Oryctolagus cuniculus: one gene and its partners. Each later gene encodes a partner of the first gene's protein in a complex. Links are inferred from orthologs where the notes say so. Each region holds a gene or a part of one and is shown in the gene's direction. Other genes may lie near its edges.

Region 1 (3,500 bases):
TAGTAATGTCCAACTTTCGTTTCCTGGAGCCCTGCGGTTCCTTCAAAGGGGCTTGAGGGGCACTGTGTTAGTATGGTCTGGGGTGAATGGCAGGCGGAGGTTGTAAGGTGTAGCATTCACTCTGTGTCTAATTCTATTTATTGAAAATTTGAAATAAAAATGTTCCACCCAGTACCAGTGGTGAACAAGCTGAAAATCACGACCTGGCCCTTGTCCAGCCTTTCCATACCCTCACAGCCCCTGCTTGTGCTGGGCCTAAGTTCTCAGCACACTCTGAGCACATCATTTCTCCTTGCCACGTTACTTTCCAGTTCTGTGTGCCTGGGAGGAGCACACCTTCCCACCAGCCTTGTCCTGGTAAACTCGGCTGTCCTCATGTTCTCCGTTCTGGAGTTACCTCCACTTAGCTCATTCAGCAGACATTGCCATTTCTGTGTCTGCTTCCTCTGCAGGACTCGACTGTGACCTGCATTGTAATCACACACGTGTTTATCTTTCCATAGATTTTGTAAGCTATTTGAGAACACCATCTTTTCGTTTTTTTATGCCCCAAACCTGACTTACAGTAAACACCCAATAAAACATCAGGGCATTGCCGGTAGCTTGATGTAACTGCCATGCATTGTCTGTTCTGCTTCTGAGACCCTCACTTCTTGCCTCCTCAGGGCTCGCTCCATATACGAGCGTGCTTTAGATGTGGACTACCGAAATATTACGCTCTGGCTGAAGTATGCAGAAATGGAAATGAAAAATCGCCAGGTCAACCATGCCCGTAATATCTGGGACCGGGCCATCACGACTCTGCCCAGAGTCAACCAGTTCTGGTAAGTCCTGATCTAGCAGAGCAGCCTCTCAGACTGGAAAATGCTGTTGTGTTTGTTTTACTCACACAGTTTATTGTTTAGATTAATGTTGCAGTCTACTTTTACTTTAAACATCCTGTAAGAGCTTTATAATGCCTTATAGTTTATTAACTCATAATCAAAACGTTTAATAGCTAATCACATGTGATCAAAACTAAAGTGCTAATTGCAATCATTTGTGCCTAAAAACTTCACATTTAACTAGCAACTTTTAAGAAAAAAATGTTTTCCTAATAGTTCATCTTGTTCAGATTTATATTTCATTAAGAAAATGTTTGCATTAACCGTTAGGAAAGATAAAACCTTAAGTTTTTTCATTAAATAAAGGGAGAACTAGAAATTGTCAAAGATGGTGTTTGCACTAAGACGCTTGGAGTACAACAGGTGTCTTGGGTCACTGTGTTGAAGGTACAAGTACACGTACATGGAGGAGATGCTGGGGAACATTGCGGGTGCTCGCCAGGTGTTTGAGCGCTGGATGGAGTGGCAGCCCGAGGAGCAAGCCTGGCACTCCTACATCAACTTCGAGCTGAGGTACAAAGAGGTGGAGCGGGCCCGCACCATTTATGAACGATATATCCTTTGGATGAGCTCTGAGTGGTGCACTGCCCTGGGGGCAGCTCTTGTCATGGCCGGGACACAGAGTCGTTAATGGGAAGTTCCAGATCCTCAGACTAGAACCAGCGCCCATATGGGGTGCCAGCGCCGCAGGTGGAGGATTAACCTAGTGCACCACGGCGCTGGGCCCTAAACCCATCTTTAAAAACACAAGTCTCACGGCCGGCGCCGCAGCTCACTAGGCTAATCCTCTGCCTGCGGTGCCAGCACCCCAGGTTCTCGTCATGGTCGGGGCGCCGGATTCTGTCCCGATTGCTCCTCTTCCAGGCCAGCTCTCTGCTATGGCCCAGGAGTGCAGTGGAGGATGGTCCAAGTGCTTGGGCCCTGCACCCGCATGGGAGACCAGGAGGAAGCTCCTGGCTCCTGGCTTTGGATCAGCGCAGTGCGCCGGCCGTAGCGGCCATTTGGGGGGTTACCAACAGAAGGAAGACCTTTTTCTCTGTCTCTCTCTCTCACTGTCTAGCTCTGCCTGTCAAAAAAAAAAAAAAAAAAAGTAAAAACATAAGTCACAGACAAAACAAAAATATAATGAATTCCTTAAACTCCTATTATGTTAAATTTGGAGGCAGCTTTAGACTTTTCCTGGTGGTCACCACTCACTGAGTTCTTCTAATAGGTAATAACAACTCCAGACAAGCAGCCTGTGTGTATTCCTAACACTTCACTTACATTTAAGGCTAGAATAAGCCCCAAGTAAAACAGTGAAGATGTATATAGAACTGGTAGTTCTTACATGATTTTAAATCAAGATACATGAATTTAATGTACTTTAATGTAGGCAAACTATCCATTTCTTGTCCACTTAACTGTTGTGAAAATAGCATCCCTCTCCTACACACTGATTTCTTGACCCAAATGGAAATACTTAACCTAAGGTCAAGATGGGAGAGAGATGACTAAGATGAATGTCCATGGCTGGCGCCACGGCTCACTAGGCTAATCCTCCGCCTGCGGCGCCGGCACACCGGGTTCTAGTCCCAGTTGGGGTGCTGGATTCTGTCCCGGTTGCCCCTCTTCCAGGCCAGACTTCTGTTGTGGCCCGGGAGTGCAGTGGAGGATGGCCGAAGTGCTTGGGCCCTGCACCTGCACGGGAGACCAGAAGAAGCACCTTGCTCCTGGCTTTGGATCGGCGCTATGCGCCAGCCTTAGCACACCAGCCGCGGTGGCCATTGGAGGGTGAACTAACGGCAAAGGAAGACCTTTCTCTCTGTCTCTCTCTCTCACTGTCCACTCTGCCTGTCAAAAAAAAACTGCAGGGGCCAGCACTGTGCCATAGCAGGTAAAGCCGCCACCTGCAGTGCCAGCATCCTATATGGGCGCCAGTTTGATTCCCAGCTGCTCCACTTCCGATCCCGCTCTCTGCTATGGCCTGGGAAAGCAGTAGAAGATGGCCTAAGTCCTTCTGTCCCTGCACCCATGTGGGAGACCTGGAAGAAGCTCCTGGCTTTGGACCGGCACAGCTCTGGCAATTGCGGCCAACTGGGGAGTGAACCAGAGGATGGAAGACCTCTCCCTCCCTCTCTCTCACTCTCACTCTCTGTCACCCTGACTTTCAAATAAATAAATCTTTAAAACAAAACAAAAAACCCTGCAGAGCAGCTTTAGGACCAGTGCCCTTAACACCTTTTGCCATGTGTAAATGTACTACTTTGGAAATCAACGACTTCTTCAAGGAAGTGAGATTAAAAATAGTTATGTTCTGTTAGATAAAGTGGCAATGTAAAACATATTCCTTTGGCTCTAGTTAGCAGTGTTATTTTTGTGGCTTGTTGTTTCTTCTTTAGTTGTTAGCTCAAATAATTTTTTTAAATTATTTAAAGGGAGAGGGAGAGGGGTGGGGGTGGGAATGTATTTGCTTCCATCCACTGGTTCACTCCACAAATGACTGTAATGGCTGGGGCTGGGCCAAGCTCAAGCCAGGAGCCTGGAACTCCATCTGGGTCTCCCAAGTGGATGTGGGGGCCCAGCTACTTGGGCCATCATCCACTTCTCTCCCTGGCACATTTGCGGAGAGCCAGA
Region 2 (4,009 bases), on another chromosome or scaffold:
GAGAGAGAGAACTTCCAGCTGCTGGGTCCCTCCCTATATGGCCACAATGGCTAGGGCTGGGCAGGCTGAAGGCCGGAGCCAGCAGCTTCTTCCAGGTCACCCATATGAGTGCAGGTGCCCAAACACCTGGGCCATCTTTCACTGCCTTCCCAGGCACATTTGCCAGGAGCTGGACCAGAAGTCGAGCAGTGGGTAGCAAGGGCATAAGCACTCCTGGGCTGCCTTTCCTAGACAAGCAGCAGGGAGCTGGATCGGAAGTGGAGCAGCTGGGTCTCAAACAAATCCCCATATGGGGTGCCAGCATTAAAGGTGGCTTTACCCTCTATGCCCCAACACTGGGCCTGTTTTGCTTTTCTAAAGCTGAGAATAATTATAGCTTTTGTATTCATGATTAAACTACCCAGGTTAAATAAAATTTCAGTTATCTTTGCTGTTAACTGAAGTTGTATCCTTTCTCTGTTGGATCTGAGTTTGAGCAACTTCGATCTACAATAAGTCCTTTTTTTTTTTTTTAGACTTTTTAAACTTTTTATTATTTATTTCAAATAGTTACAGAGAGAACGGTAGAGACAGAGAGAGAGTTCTTCTATTCGCTGGTGCAAGGGCCAGAGCTGCACCGATCCAAAGCCAGGAGCTTCTTCCGGGTCTCCCACATTTGTACATGGGGCCCAAGGACTTGGGCCATCTTCTACTGCTTTCCCAGGCCATAGCAGAGAGCTGGATTGGAAGAGGAGCAGCCGGGACTAGAACTGGTGCCCATATGGGATGCTCGTGCTTCAGGCCAGGACTTTAACCCGCTGTATCATGATGCGGGCCCCTACAATAAATCTTTAATTTATCCTTTTTTGTTTTTCAAGTAAATTTTGTTTATTCATAAACATAACTTAGTTCACAAAGGTTTTTTTTTTTTTTTTTTTTTTTGGACAGACAGAGTGGATAGTGAGAGAGAGAGAGAGAGAGAGAGAGAGAAAGGTCTTCCTTTTGCCGTTGGTTCACCCTCCAATGGCCGCCACGGCTGGTGCACTGCAACCGGCATACCGCGCTGATCTGAAGGCAGGAGCCAGGTGCTTATCCTGATCTCCCATGGGATGCAGGGCCCAAGCACTTGGGCCATCCTCCACTGCCTTCCCGGGCCATAGCAGAGAGTTGGCTTGGAAGAGGGGCAACCGGGAAAGAATCCGGCGCCCCGACTGGGACTAGAACCCGGTGTGCTGGTGCTGCTACTTGGAGGATTAGCCTAGTGAGCCGTGGCGCCGGCCGTTCACAAAGTTTTTAAAAATTTTGTCTGCAGACTTTTAACATAAAGGCCTAAGAGTGACAAGCAGGTGTCGGGGGAATATATTAAAAACAAAAGTATCTTTGGTGATTAAAAAAAACTTGGAAACCTATTATTCTAATTATTTTACAGGGTTTTTCTAGTTGCAAAATATTACAAGTCAATGAAAAAGAGAATATTTGTAGCTTTGTTTCACTAAGTGTTGAATAGGGTCATCTGGGCAAAGACCACAAAGATTGTGAGCAGGGACAGAAAACCTTTGGCTGACTAGAGGAGTGAGAGAAGGGAAGACTGCCAGTGTTAGCAAGGATTGATCAGAAGTGTCTGTTCATATGTGGGGAGAAAAATGGGAAAGAGGCAATTCTTGACAGAGTGATATAAGCAAAGATATGAAAACATGATAGTGCAAGTCATTTTTTAGAGACAGTAAATGCATCAGTTTAGTATTAAAAGATGATGAGAAAGTAGTTTGAGGCTAATGTATGAAGGCCTTTAAAGATAAAACTGGGTGCTGGTGTTGTGGCCTATGGGTTAAGCTACTGCCTGCAGCGCCAGAATCCCATATGAGTGCTGGTTTGAGTATTGGCTGCTCCACTTCCAATCCAGCTGCCTGCTAATGCACCTGGGAAAGCAGTGGAGGATGGCCCAAGTGTCTGGGCCCCTGCACCCATGTGGGAGATCTGGAAGAAGCTCCTGGCTCCTGGCTTCAGATCCGCCCAGCTCTGGCCATTGCGGCCATTTAGGGAGTGAACCATCGGATGGAAGACACTTTCTCTTTGTGTGTGTTTGTGTGTGTCTAACCCTACCTTTCAAATAAATAAAATCTTTAAAAAAACATAAAAACTTAACGCCTTGGGAAAAGTTAACAGCTGCAAGTGTGATGGTGCCATGAAGATTCCAGTTCTGTGAAATGACTATTGACTTGCTTGAGGATGTCCTGTATTTTCAAGTATAAAGAGTGATGTCTGGTGCTTGAAGGTATTAACTTTTTTTAAGGTATTTAAGCGATAATCAGAGAGAGATTGTAGTGATAGACAACCAAGCGGGAACCTCATTTTATTAAAGTTTTTAAACAATACCTTACAAAATTTTGTGTGTGAATGAATTCTCAGTAAATCCCAAACAGCTTCTCTCAGTGCTAAAAACTGGCTGATAAGTGCCGTTGAATTCTTTGTAAACCTAACAAAACTTAACAGAATTTCTCATTCTGGGAAAGAAATGATTTTCTCTATGTAATTTCTTTAGAAAACTGCTTGAGAATAGTTCATTATTATGTGTAACAGTGGTCAGAAATATTTCTCTCCATGGTACAAAACAATGACTCAACCAAAACCTAGGAATGTAATCAAAATGCACCCATACTATTAGGTACAAGTTCAGACAGTCCCTGTTTGCCCTCCTTTTTATTACTCCTTCTTACCCCATTGTGGTTTAGCCTGACTAATCTATTTGCAACACATCAACATTCTGCAGAAGTTTTGTAGTTTCTATTTGAAGGGAACAAACTGGAGGGCTGTGGAAATTTCAGATTTCATCTCAGATAGTATTTGTTAGTAGTGTGTGTGTGTGTTTGTGTATTCTTAAACAACAATCCTTTTTTAAAAAGTTAGTGTCACTTGAGAGGGAGGAGAGACAGCCAGAGAGAGGGAGGGAGAGTGAGAAAGGGTGCTCCCACCTGCTAGTTCACTCCCCAAATGTCCCCATCAGCCAGGACTAGGGTGGTTTGAAGTTGGGAGCTGGGAAGTCAGTCCAGTTCTCCCACATGAATGACAGGGATCCAATCACTTGAGTCATCACCAGGAAGTACATTATTAGGAAGCTGTAGTCAGGAGCCAGGGCCAGGAGCACCTGGGAGGTTTTATTTATTTATTTATTTATTTGAGTGGCAAAGTTATAGACAGAGAGAGGGAGAGACAGAGAGGTCAGTCTTCCATCCACTGGTTCACTCCCGAAATGGCTGCAACAGCTGGAGCTGGGCCAATCTGAAGGCAAGAGCCAGGGGCTTCTTCTGGGTCTCCCATGCAGGTGTTGGGACCAAGAACTCTGGATATCTTCCACTGCCTTCCCTGGCCACCAACAGAGAGGAGCAGCTGGGACACAAACCAGTGCTGCAAGTGGAAGCTTAATCCACTAAGCCACAGCGACAGCCCCCCTGTAATGTCATTTAAATGAAGCGAGGAATGAAGGCTTCCTCTAGAGGAACAGCCTTTAAATGCAGAAAAGGGAGCAGACGTTTAGCCCAGTTAAAATGCCGGTTAAAGACATCTCTGCCTGATATCTGAGTACCTGGGTTTAGCACCTGGCTTTGGCTTCTGGCTCCAGCTTTCTGCTAATGTAGACCTGTGTGGCAATGATCATAGCTCCAGTAATTGGGTCCTTGCTATATGTGGGAGACCCAGATTGAGTCCCGAGTTCCTGGCTTTGGCATGGCCCAATCCTGGCCATTTTGGGCAGTTGGGGAGTGAACGCCACTGGATAAAAGCTCGCTCTCTCGTTCTCTCTCTGCCTCTCAAGTTTAAAAAAAATCAAAGAAGAAATTAAAGAGGACAGTGGCCTTGGGGACAGGGAATGGAGTGTGCTTGGCATATAATTTAATATGTCAGCAGAGAAGAGTTCCACAGTAAGCTGGAACAGCCCTGCTGATGTAATGGGTATAGTCTGAGGGAACGGAAAAAAGATCGTTTAGCAGAAGGAAAAAAAAAAAAGATTGTAGTATCCTTAGAAGGCCTTGAA
Region 3 (3,500 bases), on another chromosome or scaffold:
ATGTTTTGTAATCAGTGGACACCATTGAAGCATCCTTCCCAGCTTCTTCCATGACCACTGCCAAATGCTGTAGTCAGTCCTTATGCCCCTTTACTTCTCTGCCTGTCTTTAGCAGTTGGTCACTTGCTCACTGTGACTTCTCACTTTATCCTTAGTCTCCGTCTCCTCCTCAGCTGGCCTCTCCAGTGTTAAGGTTCACCTGAGGTCTGTCCTGGGTTCTGGATGCTATCTGTGGGCTATTCCATCCACTTCTCCTGGCTTCATATACTTACTGACTCTGGTTCCTGTCAGTTGTACCAGGCTCAATTCCTTTAGCAAATGGCACTGTAGCCACATCTCCACTGCCATCGTGTCAAGCCTGTCTGGCTGTTGATGTTTCTTTATTTCTGTTTCTACAACTGGCAGTCCCCTCTCTTTTTCATCTGTCTAGCAAACTCTTAATCATTCTTTTTATAATAGTTTACCTTTTTCTATGAAACGTTTTCCTGACTCCATCTAGTAGTCATTCAGTGTGGCACTCAGAATTGATCAGAACCACAGTACATTGTTAATGTTTTTCTGTTTGCCCTGCTCTGTAAATAGAGTAATTCTATGCAGTCCTCAATCCTAAATGTCTCCCTTTTGTTGACTCCTTCCTCATATCTCTCAGTGTTGTGTACACATGCCTGTGTATATATTAAAATACAAGCGGGTTTTTTTTAAATCTTAAATACGGGGGCTGGCGCTGTGGCTTAGCAGGTAAAGCCACACAGGCATCCCATATGGGCACTGGTTGAAGTCCCAGCTGCTCTACTTCCTATCCAGCTCTCTGGCTAGAAAACAGTAGAAGAAGGTCCAAGTCCTTGGGCCCCTGTACCCATGTGGGAGACCCAGAAGAAGCTCCTGGCTCCTGGCTTCGAATTGACACAGCTCCAGCCATTTTGGCCAACTGGGGAGTAAACCAGCGGATGGAAGACCTCTCTCTCTCTCTCTGCCTCTGCTTCTCTCTCTGTGTAACTCTGACTTTCAGATAAGTAAGTAAACCTTTAAAAAATTTTATATATGTATACCATACACACACATATATGTATGTGTCCATGTGTATTCTTCTGTGTTGACACGAGTGAAAAGTTTTTAAAAATTCAGCTTAGTATATTATTACTTGACCCTACTCATTTCATTTAGATAGCAGGTAGCATAACCTAATAAGAGGCATACACCACCATTTATTATTTCATTTGTTTATTTAATATACTGGAAGTCTGCAAAATAACTGTAAGGATTTTTGTCTTTTTGTTCTCTTCCATTCATTTTTTTTTCTTTTATAGAACCCTACAGCCATTCTTTGAAGGGTTGTTACCCCGAGATAATCCAAGAAACACTCGATTTGCCATCAACTTCTTTACTTCTATAGGTCTTGGAGGTTTAACGTAAGAATTTTGTTTTCACCTTACACAATTACCTTACAGTTGCCTTTGAGACAGAATCTAACAGACTATGTTTTTAATTAGGGATGAATTGCGTGAGCATCTCAAAAACACACCAAAAGTCATAGTGGCTCAGAAACCAGATGTTGAACCAAATAAATCCTCCCTGTCTTCTTCGTCATCAGCGTCCTCCTCGTCGGAGTCCGACTCCTCTGACTCTGACTCTGACTCTGACTCTGACTCTGACAGCAGTGATAGCAGTTCAGGGTCCTCCAGTGAGGAGAGCGATTCTTCATCCTCCGGGAGTCACAGCTCGGCCTCAGGTATTGAAGCTTCTCCATAACCTATCCTGCTCTTTGCTAACAAGCGTATTGCTGGTGGTATTTATAATGACGGAAGAAAGTGATTGTATTGTATTGCTTGTTTTAGAGTTGAGTTGTTTAAAGCTTTAGTTAATAATATGCACAATCATCCGTCACTATTACAATGTGTTAGTGTATTACAGCATCTACAATGCCAACATTACCTGTTGGAATCCTCTTCATCGAAGCCAAGATACTTCATGGGCATGTGTTTATCGTGGTGTCAACTTAATATAATGTATAACAGTTGCCTGATGCTTTTATTTGAAAAAAAAAAAATGTTTTGGCTTTTCTTCTAATAGCAAAGCTTTATTTTAGTGATTGACATATACCACACATGCAGTGCTTGTCCTGTGTGCTATGTGAATAGCTAGCACTCTGGCCAGAATTTCTCCTTGTTCCCTCTCCCAGTAACTGCCCTCCCTCTGGCCTATCTGCTACTATTCTGATTTGTAATTCTATAGATTCGTTTTGTATGTTGTAACTTCAGAACTGTGCATTACGAATCCTCTATGTCTGACATTTCTTTCAACATTACGTTTGTGAGATTCTTGTATAGAATTGCATTTAGGTATAGTTCATTCATTCCTGTTACAGTTCTCTACTTCATGAATATACTGTAATCCTATTATCTTTTTAGTCAGTGGACATGTAAATTTACAGATAGTGTTCCCATGAATACTCTTGTACATAACTTTTGCTGATCATATATACACAGATAGTCCCCAACCTACAATGGTTCATCTTAGGAGTTTTTGACTATGATAGTCCATATGCATTCCATAAAAGCTGTACTTTGAATTATGTATTTTGATCTTTTCCTGGGCTGGGGTAATGCCATACATTGCTCTCATGATGCTCAACTGTAGGCTAATGTTGAGTATTCTGAGCACATTTAAGATAGGCTAAACTAAGTTATGTTTCGGAGTTTAGTCATTTTCATCTTGGTATTTTTAACTTGGAATTGATTTATTGGGACATAGCCCCATCATTGGACAAGAAACGTTTGTGTATATGTGTGTATGTGTGTGCACATTTCCTTTGGGTATATACCTACAGGTGGTATATCAGATAATATAGCATGTAATTATTGCTGATAATCAGATGTCATAGCATGTGTTTGTGTTTGACTTTAGTAAATACTATCAACCAGGGTTTTTTTTGTTTGTTTGTTTTTAAAGATTTTATATATTTGGGGCCGGCGCTGTGGCTCACTTGGTTAATCCTCCGCCTGCAGCGTCAGCATCCCATATGGGTGCTGGATTCTAGTCCCAGTTGCTCCTCTTGCAGTCCAGCTCTCTGCTGTGGCCCGGGAAAGCAGTGGAGGATGGCCAAGTGCTTGGGCACCTACACCCACATGGGAGACCAGGAGGAAGCACCTGGTTCCTGGCTTCGGATCAGCATAGCTCCAGCTGTAGCAGCCATTTGGGGGGTGAACCAACGGAAGGAAGACTTTTCTGTCTTTCTCTCTCTCTCTAACTCTTATTTGTCAAATAAAAAAAAAAAGATTTTATATATTTATTTGAGAAGTAGAGTTAGAGCAGTGAGAGGGGAGACAGAGAAAAAGGTCTTCCTTCCTCTGGTTCACTTCTCAAACCACTGCACTGCCAGAGTTAAGCCAATCTGAAGCCAGGAGCCAGGAGCTTCTTCCAGTCTCCCACATGGGTGCAGGGGCCCAAGCACTTGGGCCATCTTCTGCTGCTTTCCCAGGCCATAGCAGAGAGCTGGGTTG
Region 4 (3,500 bases), on another chromosome or scaffold:
GGCGCATGAACGGACCCTACACACAGACATTCTCTTTGGGCTGATCAAGGATGTTGCTCGCTTCCGCCCTGAGCTCAAGGTCCTCGTGGCTTCAGCCACGCTGGACACTGCCCGTTTTTCCACCTTCTTTGATGACGCCCCTGTCTTCCGAATCCCCGGACGCAGGTTTCCGGTCGACATCTTCTATACCAAGGTGCCCTGCCCAGGGAGGATGGGCTTGAGTCCGGGTTGTCCCAGGGAGGGAAGTGGGAGGTGGGACAGAGCATGTGTCGAGCTGGGAAGGGAGGAGGGGTCTGCCTGAGCAGGCGGCCCTCCTGCGACCACATCTCTCCCCCCAGGCTCCGGAGGCTGACTACCTGGAAGCCTGTGTTGTGTCTGTGCTGCAGATCCACGTGACGCAGCCCCCCGGGGACATCCTGGTGTTCCTGACAGGACAGGTGTGTGACGTGCAGGGCCCGGGGAGGGGCTATCCCCGGGCAAGACAGTGCGGGCACGTGGGCCTTCGGTGACTGGAACCCCTGCTGCTCTCCCCACCCCCAATGCAGGAGGAGATCGAGGCTGCCTGTGAGATGCTCCAGGATCGCTGCCGCCGCCTGGGCTCCAAAATCCGGGAGCTGCTGGTCCTTCCCATTTATGCCAACCTGCCCTCCGACATGCAGGCCCGAATCTTCCAGCCCACGCCCCCTGGGGCACGAAAGGTCAGTTGTGAAAGCCTTACTGCGCACCTCTTGCTGTGCACAAATGGTAGTGAAAGGGAGGGTGGCTGCCTGACCCATACAAGGCGTGTCCTGGGCCCAGCTGCAGACGCAGGCTGAGGAGCAGCCAGTCCCTCACTGCAGGCTGGAGAGAGAGGATGAATACCGCAGGACTGAGAGCGAGCGCACGGTCGGAAAGGAAGTACTGCAGGGAAGGGAAGCCCGGGTGTGCCAGCAGGAAGGATCTGGTGTGGAGCTTTCAGAAAAACCCCTGGGGAGGTCACTGGAAGGCCAAGGTGGGGCTGCGGTGAGGGTGAAAGCCACTGTGCATGGAGATTAGGGAGGCCTTTGATGGCAGGCAGGAGAGGCTGGGCTTTCGACTTTGAGTAGAGCTGTAACTCACTCCACATTTAGTGTGTCCCTCCAGTGTGCCAACCACTGTTCCAGGGGCTGAGGATACAGTGGCAGAAAAACAAAGTCCTTAGCCTCACAGAACCCACAGTGCGATGGGCGGAGATAGCGGACGCGTGAAAGTATGGTGCTTACTTCCAGCAAGTGCTGTGAGGAGACGCAAGGCAGCATAGAGAGCTGAGACCAGCCCTGGGGGCGGGGAGTGGGGAACAGCAGGAGGGCATTTCCCTTACAGTACAGGGGAGGAAGTGGAGCAGAGGCCTACACCAGGTGAGGAAGGGAGCAGCTGTTGCACAGGATCTGCCAGAGGGGTGTGCTGGGGGGTCCAGGCCTGGGCAGTGAGAGGGGGCTGAGGGCAGAAAGGCAGCCAGGGCCCAGGTTCAGGGCTTTAGGGAACTTAGCTTTATTTCTAGAGCAGGATAGGAAACCATTCAGGCGGTCTGGGAGAGTGGTATGACAGGTTTGATTTATTCGTGTATTTGGGAAACAGAGCTGCCATCTGCTGGCTCACTCCTCAGATGCTGCGGTGGCAGGGGCCGGGCTGGGGCTGAAGCTGGGAGCTGGGAGCTGGGAATGCAGCCCAGGTCTCCCCTGTGGGAGGGAGGAGCCCCGTTACATGAGCCATCATCACTGCCTCACGGGGTCTGCATTGGCAGGAAGCTGGAGCTGGCAGTTGAACTCAGGTACTCTGACAAAGGATGTAGGTTTCTGAACCTCTAGGCTAAACGCCTGCTCCAGGTTTACATTTTAAGTGGGTCACTCTGGATGCCATGTGACAGGGACTAGCAGTAGGAAGAGGGAGACTTGTTAGGAGGCCATCGCAGGAAGTGGTAGCATGAAGAAAATCAATAACGTGGTGCAGGGGAGAGGGGGGGCGGGCGTCTGGAAACTTCCACCTCGCCTCCCTGAAGGAACTCCAAGTCCTCTTCACATCCTCCCCTCTTCAGGCCTTTGCTGACCGTCCCCACCACGGCCCTCCCACCTTCTATGGCCTGGCCCCTCCCCTGACCTCGGCCCTGGTTCCTCATCTCCCGCCCCGCCTGCCCCTGCTTCTCCACTCCTAGCTTCCCAGGGTTACGTTTGCTCTTTCAGGTGGTTGTGGCAACAAACATTGCCGAGACGTCGCTGACCATTGAGGGCATCATTTATGTGCTGGATCCAGGCTTCTGTAAGCAAAAGAGCTACAACCCCCGCACAGGCATGGAATCCCTCACTGTCACACCTTGTAGCAAGGTCAGCCTGGGTCTCTGTGGGCTGGAGAGAGGTGGAATTATCCTGCAGGGAGGGTCAGCCCAGAAGCAGCTTCTTAGAGGGTGGGGGACAAGCAGTCTACAAATGCCCAGGTTTCTTGTGTACATACCGCCCTTGAACTGTCAGATTGTCAGCCAGCCTCTCCTTTCTCTGCAGGCCTCAGCCAATCAGCGGGCTGGCCGCGCGGGCCGGGTGGCCGCGGGGAAGTGCTTCCGTCTGTATACCGCCTGGGCCTATCAGCATGAGCTTGAGGAGACCACGGTGCCTGAGATCCAGAGGACCAGCCTGGGCAACGTCGTGCTGCTGCTCAAAAGCTTAGGTGACTGGGCTACCCCAGTCCTCCTGAGTGGAGGGAGGTGGGGCTAGAGTGCCTGGTCCTGGTGAGAAGGTCCTGTTCTATTCCCATGCCCTTCCCCAGGGATCCACGACCTGATGCACTTTGATTTCCTGGACCCTCCACCATATGAGACCCTGCTGCTGGCTCTGGAGCAGCTGTATGCTCTAGGAGCCCTCAACCACCTCGGGGAGCTCACCACGGTGAGATGGGAGGGCAGGAGGAGGGCTGGGGGCCCTGGGGACCGCTGCAGCGGTGCAGGGAAACCTGAGGGAGGATTGGCTCCGATTTTCTCTTTAGTCTGGTCGAAAGATGGCAGAGCTGCCAGTGGACCCCATGCTGTCTAAAATGATCTTGGCCTCCGAGAAGTAAGTCCTCCCCCACCCCGCCTTGGGGCTCCAGCACACACACTGGCCGTGCCTCCCCTGTTTCCATGGCCATCTCTCTCTGTATTTCTCCATCATACTGTCCTTTAACAGTAACGTAATTGGATAACCCTCACTGCCCTTTTTGAGGCCCATAAGGGTCACTAATACACTGTCCTGTCGTTGGTCATGGTATTAAATGGGCCAGAGCGACAGGAAATCCGGGAGCAAGAGTGAGCACAGAAGTGGAGGCTCTTTTCTCTGTGAGGGGTGCCGAGGGAGGGCTCATTCTGGAGCTGCCTCCGCTAAGGCTTCCCGCTAGAACATTCAGATGTGACTGTGGAGGGACCACCTTGAAATGCCGTTCTCCCGCTGCGGTGTAGGCCACAGGTCTGCCCAGTGCACGCAGCCCCAGAGATCCCCTGTGGATACCCCTCCTGGGAA
Region 5 (2,725 bases), on another chromosome or scaffold:
CCTGGGAAAAGCAGTGTAAAACGGTGCAAATATTTGGGCCCTGTAACCATGTTCAAGAATTGGATGAAGCTCCTAGCCTTTACCGTTTGGGGAGTGAACCAGAGAATGGAAGCTCTCTCTCTGTGTCTCCCTCTCTCACTCTTTTTCAAATAAATTTTCAAGAAAAAATATGAAAACAACCCATTACTGAGAGTGGACACGTTATGGTATATTGATCCAGTGGCTAATATTGAACAGTATAAAAGAATTAAAGTTTCATATATCAATGAGGATACTGACAAGAGTAAAAGCAACTTTTACAGCATTATATATGCTACTCATAGGTTTAAACCATGCCTATCAGCTATTGTTTATGGATACACAAACTTTCAGCAATTGGAAAACAGAATGATTGACATTAAATCCAGGACAGTGTCCAAGAGATGAGGGAAGGGAACGCGGAGAACGTTTATTTGCAGAATTTATCTCTTAAAAATCAAAACAAAATCAGGACAAATACGGCAAAATGTCAAGGTTTGATACACCTAGAGGATGAAGCCAAAGATATACCTTATAAATTTTCCACACTTTAGGAATGAATTGTCAAGCTGAAAAGAGCAAAACAAAACTGCTTTTTAAAGTTCTTGCTCTCCGGGCAGCGTTCCTCTCTTTGGCTGTAGTTGTCTCTCTATCCCTCAACTGTTTTTTGGAGAACACAATCTATCAGGCTGTACGAATATCCAAAAAGGATATCCTAAGATAAGTATGGGTTTGTTTTTTCCTCAAGTATTTCTACCGCCGTGAATTTTAAACCAAAAGGTAAAACATAAAGCGAAAATCAGATGCAAAGGAGGAGCCAACCGAAGGCAGACGCGTCGCCGCGGGAACAAAGCCTTTCCCGCGGGCGCTAACGGCTCCGAAGGGGACGCGGGCGCGCGCGGCACCTGGCCGAGTGCGGGCCGGGGTCGTGGGGGTCGGCGTGGAGTCGCCGGGGGCCACCAGCCCGAGAGGCGAGACCGAAGGAGTGTGCGCCGGGGGCGCCCAAGCGACTCGGCCCCGGGGCTGTGCAGGGTCACCGAACGGGAACGGCGGCCCCGCTAGAGCGTGGGACCAGAGGTCGCGTCTGCCGACCTCAGTAAGCCACCCGATTGTGAAGGGGCTACCGTGCCGCCTCGTCAGCGCCTAATTACACCAAGGGTTTATTTTCTTGGTTGCCTGTGCCACTGGCCCACTGGCCCACTTTCTCTTAGCACCGGGCCGACAACGCATGCTCCCCGCCTCTGGGGTTCTGCCCTCCATTCAGCTCTTAAACCGCGGTCTCGGAAGAGACCACAAATCCCAGCATGCAAGACGCTACGTCAGTACAGGGCCACCCACGGACCACCAAGTGGACCATCATGCAACGCTCTCCGAGGGCGGGGGGCGGGACTCTGTTAAAGGGGCGGGACAGTTTCAGTGTCGCTAGGGCAACTCCAATACGGCTTCAAAATGTGCTTCCGCTTCCGCGTCCTCCGCCACTCCGTCGCTGTGACGCAATTTCTCTGCGACTGAGCGAGGCTGCCGGTTCCGTGTGCTGGCCTTTCTCCGGCGGGAAACCCGAGACCGGTTCCTAACCCTCGTGCGACTTCTGACTTCGGAGCGAAAGGGAAAGCGGCAAGATGACAGACCGCTACACCATCCACAGCCAGCTGGAGCACCTGCAGTCCAAGTACATCGGCACGGGCCACGCCGACACCACCAAGTGGGAGTGGCTGGTGAACCAGCACCGCGACTCCTACTGCTCCTACATGGGCCACTTCGACCTTCTCAACTACTTCGCCATCGCGGAGAATGAGAGCAAAGCGCGAGTGCGCTTCAACTTGATGGAGAAGATGCTGCAGCCTTGCGGCCCCCCCGCTGACAAGCCCGAGGAAAACTGAGACGGCGCCTCCTCCAGCGAGCCTCCCGATCGCCGGCGTTGCCCGCGCGTTCCTGTCTCCAGTGGACTGGTTCTTCCGCGACTCCTTGCTTCTCCGGCCTTCCGGGTGCAGAAGTGCTCGCCGAGGTGTCCCGCCGGTGCTGTCTTCACGTGGATCCCTCGGGACGCAGCACCAGGACCGCCGGGGCTCCCTGAGAACTGCGGGTGAAGAGGTCCGAGAGCTGGCGGGCGTTGGGGAAGACGGCACTGGAGTGAGGGGATTTGGAGGCTCGTGTTTGACTTAGTTGATTGTCGCGTTGCCTTTTTCATAAAGTTTAGAATCTGTTAAGTCTCTTGGTGTGATCTGTTTGTGTTCCAGGGGAGAAGGCTGGGGAGGACTCGGAACCAAAGGTTCTGTGCGTGTGCAAGTAGGAGAGGGTGGGTGGAGGGCACAGAACCAGCCTGCCTTGCCAGGCACTGAAATCCGCCCAGCATGCCCTTTGGGGAGCTTCAGAAAGCCCCTGGAAGGTTAAGCCTCCGCCTGCAGTGCCAGCATCCTATATGGGCAGCTGGTTGGAGGCCTGGCCCCTGCACTTCTGATCCAACTTCTTGCTAATGCTCCTGGGAAAGCAGAGAAGGGTAGCCCAAGTGCTTGGGCCACAGGCACCCATGTGGGAGACCCGAAAGAAGCTCCAGGTTTCAGTCTAACCCAGCCCTGGCCATTGCTGCCATCTGGGGAGTGAACCAGCAGATGGAAGATTCTCTTTCTCCGACTCTGTATTTCTAACTTTAAAATAAATGAAATTTTATTATTTTTTTTAATTTTTTTATTTTTGACAGGCAGAGTGG
Region 6 (2,111 bases), on another chromosome or scaffold:
AACCGGGACAGAATCCGGCGCCCCGACCGGGACTAGAACCCGGTGTGCCGGCGCCGCTAGGCGGAGGATTAGCCTAGTGAGCCACGGCGCCAGCCTTTTTTTTTTTTTGAAAGGCACAATTACAGAGAGGGAGTGAGAGTGAGATCTTCCATCGCTGGTGCAGTCCCCAAGCGGCCGCATGGGCTGAGGCTGGGCCAGGCCAGAGCCGGGAACTGCAGCCACTTCCGGGTCTCCCATGTGGGTGCAGAGACCCAAGGATTCGGCCATCTTCTGCTTTTCTGGGTGCATCAGCAGGAGTTGGAGCCGAAGTGGAGCACCTGGGACTCGAACAGGCAACCATATAGGATGCCGGTGCTGCAGGCTATGGCTTTAACCCGCTGATCCACAGTGCCAGCCCCTTCTTATCCTTTTTTTTTTTTTTCTTTTAATCCCAGGACTGGCATCTGTGTACTGCGGGTTAAACTGCTGCCTACAACACCTGCGTCCCATATGGGCGCTGGTTCAAGTCCCAGCCACTCCATTTCTGACGCAGCTCCCTGCTGACGTGCCGGGGAGAGCAGCAGAAGCTGGCGGAGCACATGGGCCCCTGCCACTCAGCTGGGGGGCCCAGAGAAAGCTCCCAGCTTTGCCCAGGCCCAGCCTGGCCGTTACAGCCATTCGGAGAGTAAGCCAGTGTGTGGAAGGAACAATCTTTCTCTCCATCTCTCTCTCTCTAACTCTGCCTTTCAAATAAATAACTGCATCCTTCAAAAAAAAAAAAAAAAAAAAAAAAAATCCCTGGACCGCTGCTGTGTTGTAGTGGGCTAAGCCTCCACCTGCGACGCCTGCATCCATACAGGCACCGGTTCAAGTCCCGGCTGCCCCTCTTCCAGGCCCGCTCTCTGCTGTGGCCCGGGAGTGCAGTGGAGGATGGCCCAAGTGCTTGGGCCCTGCACCGCGTGGGAGACCCGGAGGAAGGGCACTTCCGGGCCCACTCTGGACGCCTGCCTGCTGTGTTGGGTTCAGTCCTAGTTCTGCTCCCGGCCCAGTGGTCCCTGTGAGGCGGCAGGTGGTGGCCCAAGTGCTTAGGTCCCTGCCACCGCGTGGCACTCGGGTGTTGCTGGCATCTGGGGAGTGACCAGCAGGCGGAAGCTCCCCCGCAGTTCCTCGGCAGCACCGCTGTCTCCGTCTCGGGGAGGAGGACACAGGCGCAGGGGGGGCGGGGGCAGCGGGGGCTGCAGGGCGGCTGTCCCTTCCCCACGCCCAGCACGGCTCGGCGGGGCGGGCCAGAGGCTCCCCTTGACCCTGCCCCCCCCCCGCCCCCCGCAGGCACTGCAACATGGTGCTGGAGAACGTGAAGGAGATGTGGACCGAGGTCCCCAAGAGCGGCAAGGGCAAGAAGAAGTCCAAGCCGGTCAACAAGGACCGCTACATCTCCAAGATGTTCCTGCGCGGGGACTCGGTCATCGTGGTGCTGCGCAACCCGCTCATCGCCGGCAAGTAGGGCGCCGCCCTGCGCCCGCCCCGCCCTGCGCCGGCCCCGCCCCGCTCATCGCCGGCAAGTAGGGCGCCGCCCCGCCCTGCGCTGGCCCCGCCCCGCCCTGCGTCAATAAAGCCCCAGCGTGTTTTCTAGCGGGTCTGTCTGCTCCAGCGCCTCGCGGGCGGGGCGCACCTGGGAGAGGGCGGCCACCGGGCTGGGGCCAGGACCTGCGGGGGGAGGCCGGTCTGCGCCCCGCCTGGCTCACTTCCCCGTCCACAGCAGCCAGTCACGTGGGAGTGGCCGTTCAGTTCAGGCTGGCGCGAGTTCTGTGCGCCTTTCCCTGGCTCTCCTGGTCTCCCTGTCGCCCTCTTCCGCCCCCTGCCTCTCAGGGCTTTGTCCTTGCCCGGGTTTCTTCTGGACTTTGTTTGCATTCGTGCCGACAAGGCAGGGGCCTCCTGTGTGCCCCGCCCCGTGCAACAGTGCCCGGGACAGCCCTGGACCCGCCTCAGCTGGGTGTCGGCGCTGTCAGCCTGTGTGTTACGTGTTGCACAGGAGGGAACTGAGGCCCAGAGAGGCAGCGTCACCCCCCAGGGGCACCCAGGCAGGACGTGGTGGTGCCAGGATCCACACCCACGCCTGTGGCTTCGCCGCT
Region 7 (4,080 bases), on another chromosome or scaffold:
AAATCCTTTCAGGACTAAACTCCTGAGTGAAGAGAGATAAATATTCAAACTATAGCACCATGTGATCCATGCTCACTTCATTTGTAATAAGACATATCAACATCACAAATCCCCTAGTATGATATAGTTAGAAGGGCACATCATTTCTGCATCATTTTTTGCCAAACATTCATAACCTCAGTCCAACAATGAGAAATCATCAGACAAACCTATCTGAGGAAGGTTCTACAAAAAAATGAACTGTACTTTGCAAGAGTTAGAAGTCAAGAAAGACTGAGAAGCTGCCACAAGACTGAAGAAGAGAAAGGAGGCATTGCAATTATATTGCAATATGTGATCTTAGGTTTAATTCTGAATTCTGGAACAGAAAATTGTCTACAGCTAATAGTATTGCATCATTCTGATTTTGATAATTATACTATTGTTATATAAAAAGCTTAAGAGTATCTGGATAAAAGATATAAAAGAACACTACTTGGGGCTGGCACTGTGGTGCAGTGGGTTAACGCCCTGGCCTGAAGTGCCGGCATCCCATATGAGCACCGGTTCGAGACCTGGCTGCTCCACTTCCTGTGTAGCTCTCTGGTATGGCCCGGGAAAGCAGTAGAAGATGGCCCAAGTCCTTGGGTCCCTGCACCCACGTGGGAGACTGGGAAGAGGCTCCTGGCTCCTGGCTTCGGATCGGCACAGCTCTGGCCATTGTGGCCATCTGGGGAGTGAACAATTGGATGGAAGACCTCTCTCTCTCTCTCTCTCTCTCTCTCTCTCTGCCTCTCCTCTCTCTGTGTAACTCTGACTTTCAAATAAATAAATCTTTTTTTAAAAAAAAAGAACAGTATTACTTCGCGACATGTAAGTCTAAAAGTATTGCTGAATAAAGATTTTTTAAAAATTTATTGCTCTGTTTTGAAAGTTACTGTAGCTGTTCCTTTGGGAGTTCAGGGCCCATCCCAAGATGCCCAGGGTTTCTAAACTGGAAACATAGCCATGAGATTGTTAGAATAATGGAATACCTGTTTTCAAGACCATTCTCTAAAACAAGAAGAAACGAACTCCTGGGAAGAAGGAATCTACCTTCTACCGCTACCGCCTCTTGGCGGAACTACAGTTCCCGGTATACTTGGCGCAGGCGCATTCCTGTGAAATTCAGACGCGCTACAATAACTTCCTACGGCTAGTTGTTTGGTTTCGTCGGCCGACGCCGCAATGCTTTTTGGGAAATGTAGTTCTTGCGCTTGTCTGACTGCCGCTAGCGAATTGAACCCAAACTAAACTTCCCAGCAAGCAGCGCACCAGCCTGGGAACTGGGGCAAGATGGCAGACGCCGAAGATGGTGTTTTGCAGCCGACTGCACCTTCTACTGCCCCAATTTCATTCGCCTTTACTCGTACGTCCTCTCGGAGGCGGCTGGTGGCCCTAAGTGATGGCGCAGAGTCCGCCCCAGAGGAGAAGGATTTCTTGAAGACCGTGGAAGGGAGGCAGCTACAAAGGTGAAGCGCCGGGTCTTTCGCCCCTTGTAAATCGGTGCCGTGGGTGCGAGCGGGAGGACTCGAGTAGTTTGCTTTGATGACAGTGGCCTGGAAAGCCTGAACCACGGCCTCAGGAAATCCGTGGAGGAGAGAAGGCAGGAGCTTGTGGGAGAAGTAGGGAAGTTGCTTTTCATGGCCGTGTGGACTGAGAAGATGTATAAGGATACTTCAGAAAGTTCGTGGGAAATGCGCATTATTTCAGTATTCATTTCCATGGACTTTTTGAAATGCCCTCACATTCATGACAGGGAATACCTTTATGATGCTGGGACACTCTGGTGTGTGCGTTCAGATAAGTGGGAAAGAGGGAATAATTACAGGACCCTGTTGTCTCAGCTAAAGTGAATGGGGGCGACTCTAATACGGGGAACGAGATGGAGCTGCAGATTCAGGTTGAGGGAGGCCGCATCAGCATCTTTAGGAAAGAAGAGGCTGAAGTGCCTGAGGGAGGGACTCGCAGAAGAGAAGCAACCGCCTAGGAGGCTGTTCTGGAGCTGGGAAGAGTCTGGCTGCAAATGGTCATCTGTAGTTCTTGGGATGAACAGACGGCCTGGCAATGATTCCTGGAAGATACTGTCATTTAAGGGCTGGAGGGACAATGACGTGCAATCAGAGGCATGGTCCATGGAGCTAGGAGGGGGCTTGGCTCTTGTGTTTCTCTGCATAGGGGGGGTGTAGCTGGAACCCACGGACCCTGCTTCTCTCCTCACCTTACCTTTCTTTGTCCACATCAGTGTGAAGCCCTCAGAGGTCCCCAAGGAACCTGTCATTCCCTTGATTCAGAATGGCTATCACAGGCAGCCCCTGGTCCAGCCCTCTGGGCTATCCACAGACACCAAGACCTTGATGGATGAGGTGCTGTCCCAGGCTGTGAAGGAACTGATTGAGGGTAAGTGGGCCCCCTCTCCCCACCCTGCTCCAGTGAAGAAAGACAAGGAAGAAGGTGGAAGATACATGGGGTGGGACCTCATTGCTCCCTCCCATTCTTCCTTAGAAACCGAGAAGTCCCTGGAAGAAAGAAAGAATGCAAATGCCGACTCCATGCTCACTATCCCCATGATCCAGAAAGGATACACCTCCAACAAGGAAGGGGTAGACAGCGAACACTCAGCTGAAACTGTGAGTTGGCCCCTTACCCCCTTGCTCCCTTGGTTTCTCCTTGCCCTGTCTGCCATGCATGCCTTCTTACACACAGCAAAGAAAGTCTGTGTGTACACTGGAGGCCTACTGCCTAGCTCTTCCTCCTTCCAGCCTTTTTGGGAACATTAACACATGAATCCAGATATTGGAATATGAAGTTGGATCCTAGGATTGTCTGAATGGGGTGAGAGGCAGAGGGAAGAGGAAATATAATAGCCATGAGGGTGGACACTGCCTGGAGTGTTTGACAAACACCAAGGAGACCAACGCGGCTGGACTGGAATTAGTAAGAGAAGTCAGGTGGCAGTGGAGGGGGTGCGGCGAGACCAGGCAGGGCTTTGTGGGTCATGATGAGAACTTTGGCTTTTACCCTGAATGAAATGATAGCCATGGGTGGGCCCTAGGCAGAGAAAGGATGCGACTTATGATTCAACAGAATCTACTGTGAACACAACAGACTAGTAAGTGAAGGTAGAAGCAGGGAGCCCAGCAGTCTAGACCAGAGATGGTAAGGACTCAGATCCAAGTGGCGTGAGAGAAGGCGAGGTAGGGTTTAGCGAGAGAGGCAAGAGCAGGGTGAGTATTCCTAATGGTAGCAGCTGCCCGAGCAGGCCATGGCAGGAAGGCTGTGTGGTGTGTCTGTTAGTGAGACAACTTGTGTGTCTGGAATGAGTGAATGAAAGGATTGAAGGAGTAACGACGGGAAGCGACCACAGGAAAGGGTAGCGGCAGGGCCATGGAAGTAAGCAAGTCTGTCCATATCTTGGACTCGACTTCTCACCTGTTCATTCATAAGTATTTTGCACTGCTTCCTCAGGGCCTACTTCTCCTATGGCCACAGAGCATCGACCATCCTGGCTTTAACTGGGGTGATTAGAAGTGAACTCATCCACCTTCATTTGTGCTCTGGTGTCTTTCATTAAAAAACAAACAAAGACCCTCCATTTACTCTTCATCCTGTTCCAGCTCTGGCCTTGTTTCTCATTTTCCCTCTGACAAGCCCCCTCCAGCAGCCTTCCACCTGTCAATTGATCACACTTCCATAGTCCTTCCTCTCCCTCAGCTCCAAACCTTGCCGTCATCTTTGCCCCTCCCTCTCTCTGTCATACCCCCACGTATGATCTGTCAACGCCGTCTTTGCCTTTTTTCTAAATGCATCCAGAATTTCACTTCTCATCACCACCAGCACCGCACATCTGGACGACTGCAGTGACTTTCTCGCTGGCCCCTCATGTGACCTCCACCTGCCTGCAGGTTGTCTGCCTCCTGCACCCAGCTCTCCTGATTGACCCCTTACCCATGCTCCTCTGCCCCCATGTCCCTGTTCCAGTCATGTTGATTTTCATAATACTCTTCACACACACCGAGTTTTGTTTGGCCTCAGAGCCTTTGCTCTTACTGTCCTCTCTGC

The links.
Region 2: CRNKL1 (region 1) and BUD13 share a complex: the UniProt entries of both Homo sapiens proteins name them as parts of the minor spliceosome. The link is inferred for Oryctolagus cuniculus from reciprocal best matches to the Homo sapiens genes CRNKL1 and BUD13.
Region 3: CRNKL1 (region 1) and CWC22 share a complex: the UniProt entries of both Homo sapiens proteins name them as parts of the minor spliceosome. The link is inferred for Oryctolagus cuniculus from reciprocal best matches to the Homo sapiens genes CRNKL1 and CWC22.
Region 4: CRNKL1 (region 1) and DHX16 share a complex: the UniProt entries of both Homo sapiens proteins name them as parts of the minor spliceosome. The link is inferred for Oryctolagus cuniculus from reciprocal best matches to the Homo sapiens genes CRNKL1 and DHX16.
Region 5: CRNKL1 (region 1) and SF3B5 share a complex: the UniProt entries of both Homo sapiens proteins name them as parts of the minor spliceosome. The link is inferred for Oryctolagus cuniculus from reciprocal best matches to the Homo sapiens genes CRNKL1 and SF3B5.
Region 6: CRNKL1 (region 1) and SNRPD2 share a complex: the UniProt entries of both Homo sapiens proteins name them as parts of the minor spliceosome. The link is inferred for Oryctolagus cuniculus from reciprocal best matches to the Homo sapiens genes CRNKL1 and SNRPD2.
Region 7: CRNKL1 (region 1) and GPKOW share a complex: the UniProt entries of both Homo sapiens proteins name them as parts of the minor spliceosome. The link is inferred for Oryctolagus cuniculus from reciprocal best matches to the Homo sapiens genes CRNKL1 and GPKOW.

What each region holds. Positions count from the first base shown.
Region 1 is NC_091442.1:44,666,546-44,670,045, reverse strand, and holds part of CRNKL1 (crooked neck-like protein 1), read left to right. Parts: intron 1-665; coding exon 666-824; intron 825-1,271; coding exon 1,272-1,438; intron 1,439-3,500. UniProt on the Homo sapiens protein: Involved in pre-mRNA splicing process. As a component of the minor spliceosome, involved in the splicing of U12-type introns in pre-mRNAs.
Region 2 is NC_091432.1:108,946,649-108,950,657, reverse strand, and holds the start of BUD13 (BUD13 homolog), read left to right. Parts: upstream 1-1,209; 5' UTR 1,210-1,240; intron 1,241-4,009. UniProt on the Homo sapiens protein: Involved in pre-mRNA splicing as component of the activated spliceosome. As a component of the minor spliceosome, involved in the splicing of U12-type introns in pre-mRNAs.
Region 3 is NC_091434.1:61,123,408-61,126,907, forward strand, and holds part of CWC22 (pre-mRNA-splicing factor CWC22 homolog), read left to right. Parts: intron 1-1,307; coding exon 1,308-1,409; intron 1,410-1,490; coding exon 1,491-1,729; intron 1,730-3,500. UniProt on the Homo sapiens protein: Required for pre-mRNA splicing as component of the spliceosome. As a component of the minor spliceosome, involved in the splicing of U12-type introns in pre-mRNAs. Promotes exon-junction complex (EJC) assembly.
Region 4 is NC_091436.1:139,773,299-139,776,798, forward strand, and holds part of DHX16 (pre-mRNA-splicing factor ATP-dependent RNA helicase DHX16), read left to right. Parts: coding exon 1-193; intron 194-338; coding exon 339-437; intron 438-545; coding exon 546-698; intron 699-2,198; coding exon 2,199-2,339; intron 2,340-2,513; coding exon 2,514-2,676; intron 2,677-2,775; coding exon 2,776-2,894; intron 2,895-2,991; coding exon 2,992-3,059; intron 3,060-3,500. UniProt on the Homo sapiens protein: Required for pre-mRNA splicing as a component of the spliceosome. Contributes to pre-mRNA splicing after spliceosome formation and prior to the first transesterification reaction.
Region 5 is NC_091436.1:24,439,438-24,442,162, forward strand, and holds SF3B5 (splicing factor 3B subunit 5), read left to right. Parts: upstream 1-1,493; 5' UTR 1,494-1,637; coding exon 1,638-1,898; 3' UTR 1,899-2,225; downstream 2,226-2,725. UniProt on the Homo sapiens protein: Component of the 17S U2 SnRNP complex of the spliceosome, a large ribonucleoprotein complex that removes introns from transcribed pre-mRNAs.
Region 6 is NC_091449.1:11,279,628-11,281,738, forward strand, and holds the end of SNRPD2 (small nuclear ribonucleoprotein Sm D2), read left to right. Parts: intron 1-1,308; coding exon 1,309-1,483; 3' UTR 1,484-1,611; downstream 1,612-2,111. UniProt on the Homo sapiens protein: Plays a role in pre-mRNA splicing as a core component of the spliceosomal U1, U2, U4 and U5 small nuclear ribonucleoproteins (snRNPs), the building blocks of the spliceosome.
Region 7 is NC_091453.1:34,252,582-34,256,661, reverse strand, and holds the start of GPKOW (G-patch domain and KOW motifs-containing protein), read left to right. Parts: upstream 1-1,280; 5' UTR 1,281-1,314; coding exon 1,315-1,490; intron 1,491-2,263; coding exon 2,264-2,418; intron 2,419-2,523; coding exon 2,524-2,648; intron 2,649-4,080. UniProt on the Homo sapiens protein: RNA-binding protein involved in pre-mRNA splicing. As a component of the minor spliceosome, involved in the splicing of U12-type introns in pre-mRNAs.